Linked DNA regions of Mytilus edulis. The protein of the gene in region 1 interacts with the protein of each later gene in a pairwise test. Links are inferred from orthologs where the notes say so. Each region holds a gene or a part of one and is shown on either strand. Other genes may lie near its edges.

The links.
Region 2: the proteins of teneurin-m-like (region 1) and filamin-A-like interact in binary tests that used the Drosophila melanogaster proteins (3 or more experiments, as listed by UniProt). The link is inferred for Mytilus edulis from reciprocal best matches to the Drosophila melanogaster genes Ten-m and cher.

What each region holds. Positions count from the first base shown.
Region 1 is NC_092351.1:10,849,301-10,857,534, reverse strand, and holds the start of teneurin-m-like, read left to right. Parts: upstream 1-4,967; 5' UTR 4,968-5,039; intron 5,040-6,018; exon of another isoform or gene 6,019-6,188; intron 6,189-8,234. UniProt on the Drosophila melanogaster protein: Involved in neural development, regulating the establishment of proper connectivity within the nervous system. Acts as a homophilic and heterophilic synaptic cell adhesion molecule that drives synapse assembly.
Region 2 is NC_092344.1:98,892,163-98,900,117, reverse strand, and holds the start of filamin-A-like, read left to right. Parts: upstream 1-4,678; 5' UTR 4,679-4,778; intron 4,779-4,927; exon of another isoform or gene 4,928-5,619; intron 5,620-7,955. UniProt on the Drosophila melanogaster protein: Involved in the germline ring canal formation. May tether actin microfilament within the ovarian ring canal to the cell membrane. Contributes to actin microfilaments organization.

The DNA.
Region 1 (8,234 bases):
GACAACAGCCCAAGGCCACCAATGGGTCTTCAATATAGCAAGAAACTCCTGCACCTGAAGACATCCTTCAGCTGGACCCTTAAAAAATATGTATACTAGTTCAGTGAAAATGGACGTCATACTAAACTCTGAATTATACACAAGAAACTAAAATTAAAAATTATACAAGAATAACAAAGGCCAGAAGCTCCTGACATGGGACAGGTGCAAAATTGCAGCAGGTTAAACATGTTTATGAGATCTCCCCCTCCCTTCTTTACCTATCCCAATTCAAATGCATTTATCGTCCAAAAAAAGGGGGGGTTCCAACCCCTGCATCCACACTGAGAGGTATTGAGTGAAAGTTACCTCTAGGGAATAACAGTCGAAAACAGGGGTGTAAATTAGAGTGAAAGTTTCTAGGAACTTTCTCTAGCATTTCCCATGCAGGGGTATTAAAGATAATAAATCAAATTAAAGTGTGTTGTTGTGTTGTAAGGAAGAACTTTTTCATTGATTGTATTTATCAATTTGATTAAGCTAAATATTCTTATATGGTACAGAGCTACTTGAGTATTGTTTATATGAAGGCCTGTCTGTTTTGTTTCTAAGCATTTACAAAAAGAAATAGTTATGTGGCAGAATAAAAGTCATATATTTGACATTTTTTATACCCACTATTGACAATGCAGTATGTTGTAGACCATTTAGATAATTAATATGATTATCTGATGCAGTAGCACACCGACTTTTGTATTGTTATATTTGACATCTGTTTTTCACTGATTTTAAGATTACACATAAAATGCAGGATATAAATCGTTTTATCGATTTTTACACAATTATTTTAATTTTGAAGATGAAATTTATTGTTCATAACATCTGTCACATGCTTGAATTGCTTTTGTTATGTTTGATATAATAAAACCCACAAAAGACCTTGAACAAGCTTGTGGCTAAGAGATATACCCAGTCACTCAAAACTTTGTAAAAATAGCTCTAATTGTAATTGTTTGAATTTGATAATGTGGAAATTAGATTTTAATTTGAGCTATAAATTGATAGTTCAAGGGGATTTCTGATTTATAGAGAATTAATCCATAGTAATGTAAAGTTCATGATCTGAGTAATAAAACTAGTGGACAATGGCTCTGTAGCAACAGATGGGCAGTTAGATACTGACCGGTGATTTATTGGTTCAGGACATTGATATCTGGGATTGATAGAACAGGAATGGTATTCAATCCATTGGAAATTAGTGGAAACCCAAAAGGACTATCAGATTTACTAGGGAGATATAATGAACTGATAGTAATGCCCATATGTGTGATTTCTCACCCCGTTCTGTAATCTGTTAAATATTTGTCACATGGTTTTGTCCCTTGATAATCAGTAACACCTCTGTCTCGGATATTCCACAATTTGATACTCCCTAGCAGTGATACTATCAATAAAGGGGAAACTTGCAGTCTGTCAGAAATCAGAAGCTCTATTAATCTCTTCTTTCTAATTGTTCTTTATACCTTTTATGTGCAATATTAATGCATTGACGAATTCCCGCAGTCAGTTTCTTCACGCAGTCAGTTTCTTCACGGCAATCTTTTGAGGTTGTTCAAAGATACTTTAGTGTCATTCTTATATCCCCCTGTTCAGTCCTGTAAACAAATATATCTATGGGCCTGATGTAGGATGCAAATCTGGGTTTTTGGATAGAGATGTCAGCGATGACAGGCCACTAAAAAAAATACTCTATGGAACTGAACCAGTCTGATATTTTAACCTTAAAAAGCCCTAAATTTCACCAGTTTTATGTCTTCTATGCTATATAACTGGAGAAGTCACAATTGACTTTGTTGAATGAAAATATGGTAAATGAAAATAAGGAGATGTGGAATGATTGCGAATGAGACACCTACATGTATCCATTCAATGAAGTGGATATAAGCAATTATAGGAAACCTACCCCCTTCAAAAATGAGAAAAACCCCATACTCTAATAGGCCCTGATAAAAAAAAATGAAACTATTCAATTGAAAAAACTAACGACTTTTTTTAAGGCCAAGTAGCTCACTGGAGTGACTGATGCAGAAAGAACTGAAATAAAAAAAGGTTGAATTATCGATTTTGATGAAATCTAGTCCATTGTTGAAGAATCTTATCATGAAATCTGAGTTCTATTGACAGAGAAAATAAAGTAATTTGTGACCATTGTATAGAGATAGTATAACCCTATTACATAGCTTTATATCGCTGATTGCTTTCTTGTGTATAAGCTGATTTCATACATCTTAGATTGTATAGGAAAATTAAGCTGTTTCTTCTTTGCTTTAATAGTATTTACTGTTGTGTCGATCGTAGCATTGTATGATGTAGGTGGGATAGGACATAGGGTGATGTCAAACAGGAAATCGCATTGATTTGAATAAAAATAAAGATTGAAATCTGGAATCATGCTGAATTTATAAGAAATTGAAATGAAGAAATCTTATTGATTTAAAAAAGTTATTAATAGGATGGATATAGATATTTTATATACTTTTTGTCCTTCTGGAACAAATGTCACATGGTGCCAGGTGGCATTGTCAGCACTAAATGTGGAGTTTTCTTTATTAGATTCATTTGAATGTCTTATGATACATCATTTATATTTTATATCTAGTTTGATTTGCATGGAGGAATATCAATTATAATGTATTGAACCTCAGACCCTCCTGCTCCATTGACCATGTCTGATTATGTCACGTTTAAAAACTCAATATTTTTGCAAATCATTAAAAATGGAATTAAAGTTTGCCTATACAATGTTCTTATAAATCGTGAGAGTAATAGATTCCACTACCGTAACGCATGCAATATGATATTTCTTCTCTCGAGACTTTTAAATTTTAAATATTTAAAAGATACAGTATAAGCCTCACATTTTTAATTTGAAAATATAATTGTCATGAGACAAGAAATATCCTATCATGCTCGATGCAGCGGTATAATCAGTAATTGAACAAAATACACAATGTAATACCTTTAATACAACCTAATGTCAAATTTGAATTAAAATTTGAAAGAATAGGATGTTCCATGTTTACGTTGAATAGTAATGTAACTCTTGTTTTATGTTTAAATCTCTGTATCAGTAACAATTGAATGAGATCCTTAAACCTTTATTTTCATGTAAAACATGTTATAACTGCAACAACAAACAAATCCTTTACTCATGTGGGTCATAAAACCTGTTTTTAAAACATGAAGGAAAAATTCGTTAATATTTTATAAACAGTAAAAATCAATTAAGTACAGATCACTTAGTGTATAAGAGGATTTTGTGGGTGATATCTCATGCTCTCAGAGAAAGTGCATATTTGTCCTCCGATGTTACGGTGACATTTCTGACACATAAACCATCTGTCCTGCATTATAACATATATTTATCATGGTTATATGGAGTTATAATTGAATGGTGTTCTGTTTATAGGGCTGAGTTATTCCATGGTATTCATTCTCTCATATAATAGCTGATTTGCATGGTACATGTGAATATTGTGATCTATTTTTTGGGGGATGATCTGATGCTGGCATGTTCCCTTTTTTACTCCTGTTGGTAAAGAAACAGAAATTGCAAAGCATTTCATCAGGGTATTTTGTACTCTTTTATAAATTTTGTGGATTTAAGTTACCAAAAGAAGCTGCATTTAAGACCCATTGATGGCATTTGGCTGTTATCTGCTCTTTTGTCGGGTTGTTGTCTCTTTAAAAACATTTCCCATTTCCATTCTCAAATTTTAATACTGAAGAGGAAACTTCAGTGAGATTTAGTATATTATGTGATCTTAGTACATAATTGCAATATAAATCCTTGAGAATTTTAAGATTTAAAAGCATAGATAATGTTTTATAATGTTTGATTTATTGTAATAAAATTTTGTATTCATTTACTTCAATATTACCCCCCATATCGGATATTGTTTTTAAGGTATTTGACAGTTTACTGTATATGTGAACTTTATTAAGATTGCAGATGTGTTGTTTTTAAAGCAACCCAATAGCAAAAAATAAATCTGCTGAGTGCTGACCCTTATGGAGCACCTGAGATCACCCTGTTTTAGTGTTGTTAATTTATCTGCTGACCCTTATGGAGCACCTGAGATCACCCTGTTTTAGTGTTGTTAATTTATTTGCTGACCCTTATGGAGCACCTGAGATCACCCTGTTTTAGTGTTGTTAATTTATCTGCTGACCCTTATGGAGCACCTGAGATCACCCTGTTTTAGTGTTGTTAATTTATCTGCTGACCCTTATGGAGCACCTGAGATCACCCTGTTTTAGTGTTGTTAATTTATCTGCTGACCCTTATGAAGCACCTGAAATCACCCTGTTTTAGTGTTGTTAATTTGTGTTGCTCATTTTGTGGTTGTCAATGTTGTGTTTTGTATACTGTTTCTCATTTGTTTACTTTTGGTATTCAGCCTTGGCATCAATTTGCGTGGTCTTGACTTATGAGTTTAAATGTTCCTTTGGTATCAATCATCTTTCTTGTTATGATATGAGTGATAATATTACAGATGGAGTGAATTTATTTTGACCTCAAACTTCGGGTGATAATTGGTAGTTGACTTTTACGTTTATTGTAATTTATTCATATATACAACATGTTACATAAAGCACCCAAGGACTTGAGGTGAAATATTGAAATCTTAAATCTTTGTTCATAAGATTAGATAAATATTGTATTATTTATAAATAAACCATAGGACCAATAAGTATTGGTTATAAATGGAAGATATATTGTCAATATCATAAGGACAGTGATGTGTAAAATAGGATTTACCTGTTAAATTAAAAGTTAGTGAAATATTTAAACTTATTATAGAATTTAATGGTTTGAATTTTTATTGTACAAATACTTTAAATTTGTAGGTAAATAGTTTCCTTGTGAGCTTGTGGCTTATTTAAAACAGATTTCTCTATAGGTTTTTGTGTGACAGCTTTAAAAAAGAAACTAACTTTATAAACAAAGGATCATAACTGATACATGCACTTTCAGTATTTATGCTGTACATTCTTAAGTAAGTGAATATTTTGTTTATTTAATTTTGAGCTCAAGTAAAATGTATAATTTTAAGAATGGTAAAAAAAAAAGATTTTTTCCCCAGAATTTGTTGTCCAAACCTGATAGGCTTTTTATCATTCTTTGTAAAAATATTCCAAGTGTTCATGTTGTAATGTTTACAGAGGATGCAGGAAGCGATGCTTCAAGTCCAGTGGCAAATATTACATAAATATTTTATCGTTTATTTTTCTTTAAAAAAAAAATTCCACATGAAAAACAAAAATGTACACCACAAACAGATCATATTTTGATAATATTGACTTGCGGCTTCTTAGTAGTCTGATACATATATAATATATCGTAAAGTTATAAACTATATCATGTATGTTCAGTTTACAGCTTTAAGGTATAATAGATACAAGTGTTAACTACCTCTCTCTGTAGTATCTCTGATCAAACTGTAGTTTCAACAAATTATAAAATTTTGGTGAAAATGTGCAGGATTCGGTATTAGTATCAATCAGATTCTGAATAACCCTGCGCCTGATGAACATAAGGGTACCCTGTTTGTCCATTGACTTTTTGTTTTTCATTTCTTCTGATAAAGGTTTTGCAAACATTAATTTTGTTATGTGCCTCCATCTTCATGGCTCCAACTAATACCAAATTTCCGCTACTCAACTTTTTCAATAAGCCATGATGTGCCAGGCTAGGATTAATGAGGCTTGTTCAAATTTTATTTGGTTGTAAGAACTATTCTCAAAATAAGCCAATATATTCTATCAAAAAAGCTCAGCCTAACAGGATAAAATGGTTGATTGTGAAGACACCTCCCCTATATACAACTGTCTGATTCTGTGTTTACATGTAGTATTAACCTGTATCTAGTTATTTATATAATCATTATCCTATAGACCTATTTACTGCTCAATCTGGTCTGGACAGAGAGAGCTGTATTTAGTGTGTAATCGGTTGGAAATCTGTGGTATTATTGTGACTTGGGTAGGATGATCGCTGGTGACATACCATCATTTTATCTCTGATATAACTCATTGTTAACTTATCTGTAGACAACAATGACAAGTTTTACCTGTATAAGTGGCTTTATTAACTTTTAAATTTACTTGATAGATTATAGGACTTATTGAGAATCTTTTGAAAGCAGGTTGGTTATTTTCATTTTATAAATTTCATATATATATTTTTAGCAATATTCAAAAAACGCTTGTAGATTTTTAAATTTTTATGTCATGTTTTTTTGTCTTTTTTTTTTAACATATATAGATGATGGTGATTATAATTTGTTTTATATAAAATCAACATTTCATTACTCCAATAATGTCTCATAAAAATGAGCAATCATCATAAAGTTTTCATTTTTAGGGTAAGAGATAAGTCTGTGTATCTTAAACTTTTGTGTATAAATATTGGAAGATGTGGTATGAGTGCCAATGAGACAAACTCTCCATCCAAGTCACAATTTATAAAAGTAAACCATGATTGTATATGTGTAGTGTCTTTTTTTATTAAGAAAGAAAATAAAGGGAAAAAATCATTCTTGACTGGACTTGAGAAAAAAGAACAGAACACTCAATTCTTGAACAATGTTTTTGGTTGAATAAGTGGAAAATGATTTGAAGAAGAATTCCAACCAAACTTTCTGTATCTTAAAAAAAACAGACAGATGTTTTGTAGGAAGAGCAGAAGTAGATGAATTAACATTCTAATAGGTTTAATTCTCTTTTTTTCACTTCACAAATCAAAATAAATCTTCAGAGGTGTGATGCCATTTGGAAAAATTGGAAAAAAATTAGAACACTGATTGTAAGGGGACACATCACGACAACCGATTACTTGTCTGTCGTCAGGATTTAACGTCTGTTGTATGGGACAAATGGTAAACAAAGGACAACAATTTTTATTGCCTCTATTGGGAATTTTAAAGTTTTCAAGACGTTGAATCTTTTTATGCAAAACATTGTTTTTTATCCGAGAATCGTTTGACATTTGTGATTTCGTTAATTTGGACGTCAATCAGCTTGAGTGGTATGGGAATACATTGAGAACCAGGGAGAATCACAATATGTTGACAAGTAATTGCAGAAAATTATGTGTCAATTTTGTATACATTTTCAATAATTAGTAGCCTTTATAATGTCAGATCTATTTTAGAAATATAATTTCTTATAATGGGTAATGAATTGACAAATTTAAAGCATTGAATATAGAAATTTAAAACTGAAGAGTCATGTTTGTAGGACAATAACTAATTCAGAATTTCATAAAGGGTACTTGAAAAGACTTTGAAATATTATTGAATATTAAATGGTGATTGAATTTCATAAACGATGATGTCTACTTTATGATGTAATGCATATTAACACAAATTACCAAATTGGTTATATTTTTCTTCTTTTTTGAATACTTTAAAGTGATTTACTTTTGTAATGCATTTGTTTATATACTGAGGTTTCATGATTATGTGCTAAATTTTCAAGGATTTCATGGGTAGAGGTGACAAACAAATTTAAGTTGTTTACCGAATCAGCTTGTTTAAGACCCACTATTTGCAGTTCCACAAATTCAATTATCATGATTATTTCCACATCCACTAAAATAAATGAATCCATAGTTATAAGTATCACTGTTTGTGATTAGTTAATGTTTATAGGTTTGTATATACCAAAGTCAGAGCATACCAGGCTATCATTTCATAAAACAATCGTAGAATAAAGTGCATGTTAAACCCATAACAAATAAGTTGGACTGTAACCATGCATGTTAGCTTTTAATGGCTGTTTTAAATAAGGCACAGTGATTTAAATAAATCGTAGAACAAATTCAATTAATACCATCTGCATCTGCATTTTAAGTTTATTGAAAAGAAAATTAAAATTTACCCTTGAAAACATAAAACTGCAAGTTGGTAGACAGTACATTTGAAATTCAATTTAGCCTTCAATGATCTCCATTGATTTTACAGCTTCATGCAAACTTTAAGGGGAATCACATTAAAATTTTATGAAAACCATTATTTTTTTATTTTTTATTTTTCCAACTCGCTAGCAGATGAAACAATTGTATTCTGCCATATAACAAATTAATTTTATGTAAATTAGTTAGTGGATCCATTTGTCTTCTGACGCGTGACAGCACCATGTTTGTGTATGCTGTACGACTATTAAAAATCACCATTTGGAGAATTCAAATG
Region 2 (7,955 bases), on another chromosome or scaffold:
TTCTTTATTTACTATTGAAGAGATATGTTTGCCTACGCCTGTAAAACGAATGCATAACACAACATATAAACGATGCTGTCGGAACATTTTTAGAACATGACATTTTACTTTTCTTGTAATGCAATTCCATACAATTAACCTTACTTAATTGTTTATCATGGGTACATCGTTGCAAAGGAAATACCGAATACAATCTTAGTGTTCGATCATTGTCGGAGATGTCTTGTTATTTATTATAGGTTGAATGGCATGTACAAATATTCACACCTGTAAGCAATATCGTTGTAATACTGTAAAGTAAACTGAGCGTTTAATGAGCATTGCATTTGTTTTTATGAAGAAACCAGAAGATTCGTCAAATGTCTTTTATATTTTGTGACTTTTATGCTATATTAAATGAAGTCATTGCAACAAATGCATAGTGAAACGTTCTTTCGTTTGCCGAGAATGATCTTGGTTCTCGGCTATTAGTGGGTATTTAAGCAGGACCCTTCAACTCAAGCAAAATTTATCTTCAAATATTCCAATATCGATATAAACACCTGTCTTCATTACATCTATGATGCTGTACCCTCATATATTGTGTTTTAAGCATATATGTGTAAAGCTCACAATTCACTTGGAACAAAAAAAAAAAAAAGACTCCAACGATTCGTAAACTTAATAAAAATTATAAACAACCATAGATGTTTGCTTTAACTTCCTTCAAAAACAAACTGGATAATCGAAAACAAAATTACATGTGCTATAACAGAGTCATGGTGCATGCACGCACTTATTCTTTATATAAGACTGTGACAGGGTAAATGTCCTAGGTTTTTCATTTGATATACAACCTGCTGAAAAACAGGCAAAAGCTATACCAAAAGGACATTAAAACTCACTAGTCGAAAACAAACCTGACAACGCCATGGCAAAGAAAAGACAAAAACGAACACAAATCACAACATAGAAAACGAAAGAATGACACGAACCCCACCAAAAAACGGCGGTGCTCCGGAAGGGTGAGCAATCTTGCTCTTATCGTTAAAGTGATTTTTGCCTATAATATTAATGGAAATTTGATATCAATCGTGTTAGAGAATCCGTATATACTACTTACATATCATATATAGTATATCTATATATATATATATGTATAAAAATTGCGGTTTTTATCCAACGCAATCATAGGTTTGAACGTAGTTTTCAATTTAGACTCGTTTATATTTTTTCGTTTGGACTTGTATCATATTTTCCCTCCGGTTTATATGATCCGTTCATCCTATATTGACTCTTAAAATTCAAGAGTCTATCTAAAAATGAGGGTACTTTTTAGATGGCCTTCCAAATACCGTTTCGATCCCTAACATCACTGAAGAGACATTTATTGTCGAAATCTGGATCGGCATAACATCGTGGCCACAAGTTATTTTTTTTCTGTTAAAGCATTAAATTTATATTAAGATCCATTTGTTACATCTTGTGATCAATTTTATTTGGCAATCGCCAATGGCAGACAGCAGGGTTAAAGAACATCAGTTGTTCGACCTGTTAGTCAAATGCGTTTTGTTTAAATATACTTTTTCACTTTTTTTTTGTCTTTTTGAAAATGTTGTTTGTGCTGTTTTTAGACCCTTCTACAACGAAATTTGTTTTACATGCACACGTATAAAAATTGCGGTTTTTATCCAACGCAATCATAGGTTTGAACGTAGTTTCAATTTAGACTCGTATATATCTATATATAAACTTATTCTACGATGAAAAGGGAGGAGTAAATTGTGTCCAATCTACTACTATAGGTTTGGTGACGGAAACCTTTCTCGTATTATTTAAGAGAATACTTAACAAAAGGAAGCTGGTATAATACTAAGTGTTTTGTTTATAAATAGTTGTGGTTATAACGTGGTTGTCCGAAGAATGAACCCTTTTGATTAAAATGTCCTTATGCTAGGTGTTTGTAAATATGCAGACTTTGTTTTGCAGATCGTTGAACTTATCTATATTCGCAACCTACATATGCCTTCCTATGGATATTACAGAAAATTGTTTGACCGAAATAAAATAATAAAGAGCAAGCTTGATTCCTTCTGTTATTCCTGTTGGTTTTCACGGAGCATTTCAAATCAATGATACTGATATCCAAGTAGTAGACTCCAAGTAGATATAGGCTCTTGCTATTTGGGTTGATTTAATCCGCCACTTACTACGCCTTATATTTATTGCATGTTTCGAGTCCAACTTCCTCGACAGTATATTTAACACATACATTTGAATTCATTTTTGACAATTGTACATGCATGCATGTTAATACAACAGGAATTTTATCTAAAAATGTCTTGAAGGTAACCTTATAATTTACATCACCAAAAGATGTATGCATGTTTTCAGTCAATCTTTCAAATATTGTGTTTAATAGATGGTCAGCTCGTCAGTGTTGTATAGATAGTAAAACATCTCCAGTGCTACATATAGACAGTAATACAATCTCTTAATGTGTTTGCCATGTTGGTATCCCTATGCTTTTTATTGCTAACTATAAGATTGGTTTTGCGTATTTTCAAGTTTCGAACTCTGACCTGTAGTTGTTTTTACTTCTATCCTTGAAAATATATATCATACTGAGTTAAAATATATTGAAATGTATTGTATTTCTTAAATTACCACTGCCCAGTATACGGCTTTCCTTTGACTGTTTTTCAAGGCAGAGTGTTTTTCAATGCATAGATGTTCACATAGAGTGAGTTATACCTTACAAACTGAAGAGTCTCACTAAAACCGGTGCTATTGTGGAGCTTTTACTTTACAATGAAGGTCTCATTGTAACCTTAAGGCGAAGAACGGTTAAAAAGAAGGGTTAACTTGTTCTTTTCTTTAAATGTTACCAATACATGGGTATAGATATTTTAAGTCGTGAATTTAGACTTCACACCCCTTCTTAATGTGTCTGTGTTATTGTTTACTATACATCTGCTTTTGGTTACTCGTCGTTATACTATTCCAATGCCCTTGCTCTTTGACCACAGGAGGTTGCGAGATGGCATGATGGCTTTATCCAATCTAACGATGATTAAAATATCGGCTTAAAATATAGACCTCTAATCTATTTATCCTCATATAATCTCAATTTAAAAAAAAATTAACTTCACCAGTTTTATTGTAACTTTTTTGAATAGCTTTGCATGTGCGTGCCGATGTTTTGATATTGCATGGTCAGTTTATATCGTAAGTTAATCTGTGCGTCTATAATTGTACTTTCTTTTTTATTACAAGTCTACAACATGCAGAACAACAATTTGTAACATGCCTCTCTATGATGACGAATCGTAAGATTCATTCTAGAGATTTCTATCAATTCAAATAACTCAGATTGTAATGGTAATCGTATTTGTATAGTTCTTTTTTCCTGCTAGTGAATTTTAGTCATACTAAAACATTGGCTAGCAATTCCACTTGTGACAAAAGGTCATACGAAAGGAGCAAATTGTGTAGATAGTTCTATAGACAGACCATGCATGTTTCGCAATATACCAATAAATGAGTTAGTCTTCACCCCCCCCCCCCCCCTAAATCCGGCTCTGACCGCCTCTGATAAACATACATAACAGTGCGAAACATACAGAGATTCAAAAATTGAGGCTCAAATATCTGAAAAAAACTACCGATTCTTTCTATATAACGAGTAAATCAGACGTAACAAAACTTTTCTGTTCAAATATTCTTTTTTAAACTACGATAGTGTACATGTACTTCGGGCAATTCGAACTAGTTAGTATGTAACTCTTGTACACGAAACACTATGTAAAACCAGAACTATAAACGATTACTAAAACAATCTGTATGATGAGGGTTAAATAGTTTTTTTTTTGTAAAATGCTTGAATAATTTCAAGAGAGCACCGGCCGGCTTCTATAGAACGCATTACGATTGTATTTGCATATTTTTTGTAAGATCTGTTGATCTCATAATCGACTATCCTTTATTCAAACAAACAAAAATTCCACAGTGCATGAAAGAGGTGTTAATAACAATCATATATTATTCGTTTCTGTAGACGAATATAACAAGTAAACACAGAGCACCATTGTCGTAGAAAGTTAGCGCAAAGACAGTAAGGCGCAAGATATTTTTAATCAAGGGGTAGAGCCTAGGATTATTTTATGATAGCAGAAGCATGTATTACATGCAAGAAAATTATAAAACAGTTCTTTTTCGCTCAATGGAAGGACTTATTAAACACACACACACACACACACACACACACATTTTTTTTATAATGAAAAAAATCCAAGGGTCGTCACTTGTAAAATTATCGAAGCTAATAAAGCTTAGAACGTAAAAACTATTGAATAGGTTCCAAATTTCAGTAAAACTGAGTATTCTTGACATGTTTAAAACATGGTATGACATTAGAAAAATTAGAAAAATATAAAAATATTTTTCGTCTTTCAAGGTCGTGCCATTATCAGTAGAGGTTTGTTGTATAAAGTATTTTGAATAGGAAACATTGACAAATCTACCGAGTATTGCAAAAAATATTTTATCAAACGGCCAGTAGTGTTAAGTGCTTGCTACTTTTGTCCACTTAAAGACAATTTCATATCACTGAAAAATCACACAACATTAGCGGATGTCTTGCTTTTCAATCCTACCAATTTATGACATAATTTGTTAAGTAGTTGGTCTTCCTGCCATTTGAGGTATATTCAAAGTATAAAAAAGCTTCTGTTTGTTCTTTCTGGCTGATGTTAGAAAGATATGGGCTGTTTATGATATTAAGCTAGGTGAACCATCTTGTAAGTTATCTATTTAGTTTTATTTGAGATTTTTAAAGATATCTGTGTTCTATAATTTTGTTAATCTTTTAATAATCTTTTAACTTTCTATGTCAATATGAAAAAATATTTATGCATGGCTCCTGGGTAATTTGCATGAATTAACATCTGTTTGGAAGTTCAAAAACACGACCTAATCTGAAAAATTAAAAGCACATTATACAGCAGGAAATGTTTGTGTTGTGATCTAATCTACTATCCCAAAGGAAGCGAATATTTAAGAATATGTACATGTGTTATTCTGTTGATCCGTATTATCGGTTAATTAATTATTACATGTATCAAAAATACAATGTATGTGGTTATGCTAACATATTAATCACACAGGGCTCTCTACCCGTCTACCATCTGGAAACTTCTGGAAATAAGGGATTAATTTACCTAATCATTGGTCCAGACGTTGGTCATTGGTCCTCAATCCCGCCTCTTATCTAATTGTGATCATACTAACAGTATGACACACGTGCATGTACACAATCATTCACTAGTATCGGCTTTCACGCGCGTCCCATATATGGAAGTGATGCTGCGCAGTTGAACACTGTGAGTCTCCTGGCATTATCTTGGGAAGTGATTTCGTACATATATTCTGAAGAATCTCACGTTTCTACGATAACCAATCTGATCTAAGACTATTTATAAACCAACCCTGTTTGGCTTAGATGTTGAAAATGTGTGTACAGTGAGAGACAAGCCGGCTTGTTACAAAACATCTCCCTTTTCCTTGTCAACTCTTGGAGTACGGACGGGACCTGACTTTTGACCACCGGAACTGACTTTCGGATTGACTATAATAATAATAGTAAGTTTTAATAACCACTTTTAAATTAATTCAAACTTGAACTGTAATTATTTGGAACTTTATTGCATTGGTAATGCAGTTTTGATTGGCATGATAAAGGTGTTATCAGACAAATTTGTAAACAAAATGTTATTACACTGCCAATCAAATTATTAATTTTAATAGTTTTGAATCTGAGAGTTTTGATGAAATCAACATTTTTTATTAAAGACCGTGAAACAATTAAATGAACAGTTTTAATAGTTTCAATAATAAACATTGGAACTGTTTACTTTTTCTTATTTTTCTTTCTCTTCGTTACTTTTTGTAGATAAAATTTAGGTTTTTAATACAAGTACATGTTAAATGTATGATCTACAAAAACAAATTTTGTTCCACCAAGATAATTTTTTATTTGTTAAACACTTGTTTGATTTCGTACTTATTATGACTTTCACAAAATGACTTCAGGGAAATGTTTTGAAACAATATAATGCAATACAAATGCATTTAACAAAACAAAACAAAAAATGTGGGATCGAGTGTGGGATGAATATTCTCTGACGGATAGTTTTCCCTACGGTGAAAATAAAAATAGCAATCCTCTGGATGTAATTCATCAGTAGGGATAAACTTCAAAGATTTAAAGACGATGATGGGAGATTTTAACGACCGTTACTGGCTATACAGCCCTCGTACAGTTGAGTGTTTTTAAAAGCCGAGTAACACTTGAGAAGCTATAAGTGACAAAAGGGCCGGATTTAAGAGTGGTGCACATAGGTTAAATTGGTTAATTAGTCTCTTAATCTGGCTCAGTCATCTTAATCTATAGCATAGCAATGTGTACATACTACAAAAAACATCTATTATCATGTGCATACAGTTTAGGATCAAACGATGTAGTCTGCTGTAGTGTCAGCTAAGCAGCTATATAAGGGTTGACAACTTTTGACAGATTGGCGCGATATTTCATCTAGAGTTATTGCCCTTTTTCTGTATAATTCATGTAGTAATATCACTTCTGGTATTTTCCTATATTTCTAGTTCACATTGGGTTGGTATGAACAAAAACTTCGGTTAAGCAAGGATTTGTATAGTATACTATACAAATCCTTGGGTTAAGTAAAAAAATAAGTTGATACAAGAAAGAAATTATATATGAAGTATCTATATCACAAAAAAAAATGACAAAAGACATCCATAGACTAAGTCAAAGTGAGTGGAGTTCTGGATTGATTGATACTAGATTTCTGTACATTCATACTTATTGGTTAATTGGCTATAGAGAGTGTTTGTGCAATATATCTAGCCATGGTTAGGTTGAGAAGTACTTTCTTAAGTTTCGTCTGGAAACTTCGCACAATAATCACCAAAAATTAGAATGCAATGTATTAACAACCGGAAATCATAAACGGCATATGGTTATGATTAGTTCAGTTGACTCTTATTTGTTCTACACATATTTTCTTCATAAGTGGTCTTAATAACAAAGTGACTTTAATCAATAAGCACGTCATGATAAAAATCATACTGAGTAATGAATAAATAATTCGAAATATGCCACAAGATGGATACTACTGATCAAGACAACAAACACATATTACATAATGGATATATATACTTATGTCACATATTAAAAAAAACCACACACACACACACAAGCAACGATGACAATACATTTTACTTTAAAACACAGACGTTACATTATACATAAAAATTAACATGTGAATGGATATATAATGAATATGTGAAAATAAAAAATAAAAGTTGTCTTTCTTATACCAAATCGGGTAATACTGCTTGACATCTAAATCGTCAGAGCAAGCACTGAACTAAATTCTAATTCTGGTTATATAATCATATCAGGATAATTCCTGTATTTCTGATATCTACGTACAGTTTAATACAATGTTCAAATGTCTTATAAATATTCAAAATATTTAAAAGATATCGTCTTATTTCTTACATAGAGATATTGATCTATACTCAAAGACAAAAAACTACAGTTTATTATTGAAGAAGACGCCTATTGTTTATGGATTCAAACCGACCTTCATCTTTGTCAGTTTTTTTGTGGGGCTCGTTTAACTCAATCTTAAGTGCTTTTTCTGTGGTGTTTTGTTTACTGCTGTTTGTCTGTCTGTTATATTTTTTGTTGTCATTGCATTGTCAATTTGTTTACAGCTTTTGAGTTAATAAATTCCTCTGGCATTTTTCTGCCTCCTTTTTACCAGTTAGACTTACAAAACAGCCGAAATACATCTAACTAAAATCCCAGAATTACAACATTAATTTGAAAAACAAACACCTGTTTAAAATGGCATGTTTCACATTAAGTACAAGGGAAAAGTAAATTG